Xenopus tropicalis: one gene and its partner. The protein of the gene in region 2 binds, or shares a complex with, the protein of the main gene of each other region. Links are inferred from orthologs where the notes say so. Each region holds a gene or a part of one and is shown on either strand. Other genes may lie near its edges.

Region 1 (3,658 bases), about 61 Mb from region 2:
TGAGGGCCTGTCCATGACCTTCTCAACTGTTTTTGGCTGATCTGGAGGCATCTTTAAAGGCATGTAAAGCCTACATTTGCCTACAAGGTATATCAGTTGGGCATGTCACCCCCACCATAATGGCATTATTTGTACTGCATATATCCCCCTCCATCACCATCACATTTTCCTAAAGCAAATAGCAGCTTTCACACGGTGGCCATTTTTCCTCTGATGCATAATCAGATACATTTATATCTGCAAACAGCATACACACACATACCCTTATTCAGCATTCAGCTGAGCTCAGGAGAGGAGGTTAGGAGAAAAAAAGAGAAGCAGACAGCTAGAGCTGAGTTTATATGGAAACCAGCAATGCCATCTCTTCACTGGCTGCTAGTCTGAAGGATGTGTTTAGTAATCTGAGTTTAGAACAACTGAGCATGCCCACAAGCCAATAGCCAAAGCAAATTCCTGATGGGAGGGGGCCCAAGTGGGTTTCAGGAGGAGAAGGAAATCTAAGTGATTAAGGGTATGTTGCAGCCTTCCTATTAACCTCTGGACAACCAGAGTGGCAGGTATTGAAAGATTTCAGAGGCTGTTCACTGATTACATTTTTGTGTGTGGGTTTTACATGCCCTTTAAAGGCAGCAAGTTGAAATAGTGTGCCAAAGTTGGATTAGCTGTGGGCCAGAGTAAGTGTAAGGGTACAGTTGAAGGGGAAAGCATGTGATAAACTGCAAATTTGAGAATGCTCAGGTTGTATGATAATTGCCTTATAAATAGGCACTAGGACACATGGTTAAGTGAGCAAAGGCAAGTGGACTAACACCAGGGGGTGTAAACAAAATAAAAAAAATCCAAACAAAACAGGGACATGAACATCCAGTTAGGATACCTTAATCTTCCCTAATAATAAAAGAGAATCTCTAAAACTATGTCAAAGCATATATATTTTTCCATAAGCAGGTTGTTCACAGGTGTGCATATTTACAAAAGGAACTTGAGCTACAGCCTGAGTTATTCCAAGGTTCCCATAGCAGGCTGCGTCAATAGGTGCAACAAATGTAGAGACACTTGCAAAAGACACAGTAATGCCATTTGAATAATGCAATCCCCACAATGAAATTTTGCACTTGCTTCAATTTTGTTGTATCAGATACTACTGTGGTTAAAGGAACAGTAACACTAAAAAATAAAAGAGCTTTAAAGTAATAAAAATATAATGTACTGTTGCCCTGCACTGGTAAAACTGGTGTGTTTGCTACAGTAACACTACTATAATTTATATAATAAGCTGCTGTGTAGCCACGGGGGCAGCCATTCAAGCTGGAAAAAAGGAGAAAGGCACAGGTTACATAGCAGATAACAGATAAGCTCTGTAGAATACAATAGTGTTTTATCTGTTATCTGCTATGTGCCTGTGCCTTTTCTCCTTTGAATGGCTGCCCCCATGGCTATATAGCACCTTATTTATATAAAATTATAGTAGACTTTCTGAAGTAAACACACAACTTTTACCAGTGCAGGGCAGCAGCACATTATATTTTAGTTACTTTTATACACTTTCATTTTTTGGTGTTACTGTTCCTTTAAGACAAGCCACAATGACATTGAAGTTGTGGGTAAAAAAATGGCAAATTGCAGCTAAAAATTGCACACTGCACTCACAGTCGTAAATGGGACTTTATATGTCAAATATGGTGACAAAATTGTCCACAGTGTACCGCAACTGAATTTTAATCCCACTTTACCTTCTGTAGATCAACTTTAAAACCATACCTAAAAAATGATTTTGAATGATGTTCATTATAAAAGTCCATTGCTTCAGTTCTGTAAAAAAGAATAAAGAGATGTTACAGCTGCATTTCTTTTCCTCTTTACCCCTGGCAAATTTTGTCTTATATTTTACATTAGGGGATACACTATACAGATGAATGAGTAAGATTTGGCACCCATGGCCAAATAACACATCTAAGCTAGTTTAAGTGAAATCAGCAAAGTAAAGAAAAGAAACTGTGTGTATGTAAGTACGTACGTACGTACGTACGTACGTACGTACGTACGTACGTACGTTATCCACGCCGTTATCTTTGAATCTTGGACAATTAAAGGGAGTGCGGACAGTGTGAGGTATTTTTATTTATATATATGTATAAACACACACACACAATTTATTCACTTTGTCCAGCCTTACCCTCTGTATTGTGTACTTTAACTTATGACAGTTTCTTTCAGCCCATTTCCAGTTCTAGGCAGCTAATATAATGGGGGTGGATTTGCAGAATTGATATGAACCACACTGAGAAATAACCGCAAGCTAATATAATTTACTAGAGCTTAATGACACCATTAAAGTAAAGCACATCAAAGAGAGGTATAAATGCTGATTAAGGTGGAAAAACAAACACTGGTATTTAACATTGTGGCTGATCTGATTTAAGAAAGTGGATAAAAAAATACTAATTTAACTTTATGAGACAAACAATAGGGCAATAGCTGTCATTCACTACCAGCTGAGGCTAATTTAATATGTACTGGTTTCTAACTAAAACTTTCCATGCCGCCTCTTGTCATGGGACACATCTACAGTGGTGCTGTCAAAGGGAGGCAGTGTTCTCAGATTCAGGTATTTCTCCATTGGTGGACATAGGCTGGCAGATACAACTGTCCTACCTACCTTTCTGATTTGAAAACATGGACATTTTAGAAAAAGACTTCCATAATTTACCCAAATCTGGTCCCCTCTGGGTGCTTCATTCTTCAGGTTAACTTTTAGTATGCTATAGAATGAACTGTTCTTAGCAACGTTTAAATCGGCCTTTGTTTTTTGGTTTTTTTTTATAGTTTTTAAATTATTTGCCTTCCTCTTCTGACTCAAGAAAGATGCTGAACAACAGGCTAAATAATTAAAAACCCACAAATAAAAAATGAAGACCAATTGTAAACTGTTTTGGAATAGCACTCTCTAGATCCTATTAAAAGTTAATTCAAGGCTGATGGCCCACAGAGTTAGTCGCCCGCAATAGATCTCTGCTACTGTGGCGACTACCTGCTCCGAAATGCCTTTCCACCAGCGACAACAGGAGTCTCCGCTGGAGAGGCCTACGCATTGCTTTGGCTTCCAAAGTTGCACAAAGTTTCCTCCTGCAGGCAACTTCACGCGACTCTGGAAAGCCGAAGCAATGCACTGGCCTTTCCACCGGCGACTTGTTCCGTGAACAACCCCTTTAACTAATTATTAACTTATTACCCATAATTTATAAAGTTCCAACATATTCATTTCAAAATATGCAAAGAAATTACAGCACAACTGCATCAATTTTATCATAATATTTACCTTAAGAGCAAAACCATTTTAGCCTTTGAGATTACAAACCCTGAGTCCAGTATGGCTTCAATAATTGAACCCATTTTTGTTACAGCATCTGGTTTTATCAAAGCTAATGTTCTGCAATAAAGAAAATATAAATATATTTTAGAATGCATTTGCTTTAGGTAAAACAATGTATTAGCATTTTCTATTTCTGCAAGCTTTTGAGAATTTATTACTGTAATCAGCTGCAATTTTAGCCACTGTCTCTCAGGCTGGCTCCTGAAAAGCTTTCCCTCCCTCTTTTATTGTCTGGGTTAATATCCAGTTACAAAAAGCAAGAAAAAGGTGTCAGGCACTCTCTAT
Region 2 (3,658 bases):
TAAAGACTGAGTTCCCACACTTGCTTATTGCCTGGATTTAGCAGTTAATCAGGTCACCTTGCCCTATACAGGTCTCTGGGGTGTGTATTGAGAAAGCACAGTGGCTTTTTCCTCAGTGCTACAGCTTAGAAGGTATTTCAAGGTCATTTTGGTTGATTTTAATGGGCGACAATAATGTGCAGCAATGATCTAAAAGCTAAGGATCACTGGGAGCCATTTCCCAGTGATAGATATTCCATAAGTGTGGACACTCACAATCTACAGAACATAGCCTGGTTGTGCAAAATCTTTCTTTAAATAAGAAGGGAGTTGATAAAGTAAAAAAATTCCTTTCAGTATACGCAACACCCTTTCACTTAATGTCCATTAAATCACAGAACACTAGTCTCAAAATTTAGTCAGCTGAGCCATTAAATCCGAAAGGTTATTTCTATCAACATAACGAAAAGTTTTATTTACAGTAGGTTATGAAACTATCTTTAGAACTTGGGTAGTGTCATAAAGAGTTTTGCCTAAATCGGATAATAAGATAATTGTTATGCGTTTTGTTACAATTAATTGGTTTTTGCTTTATCATCTAATTAATATTGGTCACCTTAAATCACAGAGCATCTTAAGTAATGCTGCCTTTTGTACACTGGATGGCACTACAATACCACAGTTTAAAGGACAAGGAAAGTCAAAATCTATTAAAGGAACAGTAACACCAAAAAATAAAAGTGTATAAAAGTAACTAAAATATAATGTGCTGCTGCCCTGCACTGGTAAAAGTTGTGTGTTTACAGAAAGTCTACTATAATTTATATAAATAAGCTGCTGTGTAGCCATGGAGGCAGCCATTCAAAGGAGAAAAGGCACAGGCACATAGCAGATAACAGATAAAACACTATTGTATTCTACAGAACTTATCTGTTATCTGCTATGTAACCTGTGCCTTTTCTCCTTTTTTCCAGCTTGAATGGCTGCCCCCGTGGCTACACAGCAGCTTATTATATAAATTATAGTAGTGTTACTGTAGCAAACACACCAGTTTTACCAGTTCAGGGCAACAGTGCATTATATTTTTATTACTTTAAAGCGCTTTCATTTTTTTAGTGTTACTGTTCCTTTAAGCACACTATTAAATAGTACTACTATTGCTGTGTAGAAACGCTATATTTCTGGTTTGCCTAATAAAAGATTTACAGAGATACACGCACTAGAAACTGCATACTTGTTGCAGTGAACGGCGCTGCCATCTTGTCCAGCACATCTGTATGGGCTATTGCTGAAAAAGCACAGGCCCCCCCCCCTCTGATCCCCGCATCTGTCGGCTCACAAACCCATATTCCCCCCCCCGCTCTGATTCCCGCATCTGCGACTCACAACTCATCCCCCAACGCCGCCGCCACTCCCCCCCCCCCCGCTCTGATTCCAGCACCTGCCAGCTCGCAAAACAAGATTGTAAGCTCTTTTCTCTTCACCTCTTGTATCGGTTATTGATTGCTTTATGTTACTCTGTATGTCCAATGTATGAAACCCACTTATTGTACAGCGCTGTGTAATATGTTGGTGCTTTATAAATAAATGTTAATAATAATAATAAAACTGCCGCCACCCCCCGCACTCTGATCCCATCGCCTGCCGGCTCACAACTCACCGCCCCCACTGAGACATGCCCCCACCCCCACTCTGCTCTGATTCCAGCACCTGCCAGCTCGCAAAACAAGATTGTAAGCTCTTTTCTCTTCACCTCTTGTATCGGTTATTGATTGCTTTATGTTACTCTGTATGTCCAATGTATGAAACCCACTTATTGTACAGCGCTGTGTAATATGTTGGTGCTTTATAAATAAATGTTAATAATAATAATAAAACTGCCGCCACCCCCCGCACTCTGATCCCATCGCCTGCCGGCTCACAACTCACCGCCCCCACTGAGACATGCCCCCACCCCCACTCTGCTCTGATTTCAGCACCTGCCGGCTCGCAAACCACCGCCGCCGCCGCCACCCCCCCTTCCCCCCTGCTCGACGATTATAATATTTAGGGCAGCGGTACAAGCTGTTATCTAATGAGGGGACCCCGTTGGCTGTGAGTTAGTGACATTGGCGACAAACATACAAACATCCGTTGACCTTTTGCTCATGATTTCATTTAGGTGCCTGCAATTATTCTGACTTATGTAATGTTATACGGTGGGGGTGATAGTGACAGCTTGTCATGTAAGCAACAAATGGTCACGATAAGGCACTGAATTGGGCTCCCCGCACCTGCCGCCTCGCTTCTTGCTTCACCCTCCTGCCGGCTGTCCTCGTCTGCGTCGCCATAGCAACCAGACGCTCCTGCTGTGTGCGCATGTGCACGCTATGGATCTGGTCAAATTGTCAGTGCAGGAGCGTTGCATTATGGGAATCTTCTCTACCCTGCTCAGCGTTTTTTTTTCTTGTTTGGCTTCTGATCTTCTGAACAGGTGAAGTATGGGGAGACTTAAGGGCACTATTGAGACAACTGAAGGTATGCCTGCAACTTGAGATTAACTCTTTGATAGGAGAAGGAAAAGCTAATAGATTTCTGGAAACTGAAAATCTCTTTCATGGTGATATTTATCAGTAAAAGAAGGCAAAATGCAGCTGCCAAAGCAGAAAACAACAAAAAGAAATTTCTGAATGCATTGCCAAAAACATTCCCAAATATTTTAGTAAAATGTTCAGTCAAAGCTTCAAAGATAAATATTTTCCTGGTGAGGTTAAACCAACTTTAGATGTAAATTATTTGCCATAATACTGAAATGGTTCTTACATTTCTTTACCCCTAAATTCCAGATTTTAGTGAAAAAGTCACATCAACATATATACTTGCAATTATACTGTTCTACTTCACAACTCATTTATTTTACCTTGCCGTCTACTTTGTAGCAGTTTTCAGAATTGCACATTTTTATGAACTTCCCATCAATTCCCTGGAAAACGTACAAAAGGTCTCTCACTAAAGCTGTCTCTGTAATTTCAACAGACCCTAAAAAAAAGGGAAAAATAAATCCATATAAATTTGGGTTATTCCAGAAAAAATACATTTACTGTGAAAATAATGCAGAATATGACTAAAAGGTATGTGTCTCTAAAAATGATGTGAATATGGCTCTGGAATTATTTTAATCTGACTCTGGATATATCAAGTATTTTCTAGCATTTTTAGGGTGCACAATGATAGCTGCATGATTGCTACACACAGTTCTCTGTCTCACAGGAGAAAAAATCTAAATGATGTCCTCCCTTTTAAATATGTGGGCTGACAGTATTCCTGAAAAGAAAATAAGTTGCCCTAGTGGGGGGGGGGGGGGGGGGGGTTATTTGAAAGTGAAGACGTCCTTTATATACTTAAAATTTTGTCAGCTGCAAAAGGATGCAAAGTTTGTCTATCAAGCCTCAATTCTGTGCTGTGAAATAATAAAATAAATATTCCCTGCATTTTCTAAGCCTAAACCCCTAGCAGAACAGGCATGAAACCAGAGCTGCATTTCTATTCTCACCACTTGAGTCTCCTTCTCTTCTAGTCCTTGGCACATTTCGTGATACTGTATTGGGAAGGCCTTTGGTGGTAGTGCTTTGTTGTGATGGCTGCTGACCAGCTGCTAAAGTCCAAGCAAGGCGAGACCCTAACTGCTGACGAAGTGCAT

The links.
Region 1: tubgcp3 (region 2) and nme7 share a complex: the UniProt entries of both Homo sapiens proteins name them as parts of the gamma-tubulin ring complex. The link is inferred for Xenopus tropicalis from reciprocal best matches to the Homo sapiens genes TUBGCP3 and NME7.

Annotation. Positions count from the first base shown.
Region 1 is NC_030678.2:55,292,878-55,296,535, forward strand, and holds part of nme7 (nucleoside diphosphate kinase 7), read right to left. Parts: intron 3,431-3,658; coding exon 3,320-3,430; intron 1,813-3,319; coding exon 1,762-1,812; intron 1-1,761. UniProt on the Homo sapiens protein: Possesses an intrinsic kinase activity. Displays 3'-5' exonuclease activity with a preference for single-stranded DNA. Does not seem to have nucleoside diphosphate kinase activity.
Region 2 is NC_030678.2:116,382,143-116,385,800, reverse strand, and holds part of tubgcp3 (gamma-tubulin complex component 3), read right to left. Parts: coding exon 3,512-3,658; intron 2,998-3,511; coding exon 2,879-2,997; intron 1-2,878. UniProt on the Homo sapiens protein: Component of the gamma-tubulin ring complex (gTuRC) which mediates microtubule nucleation.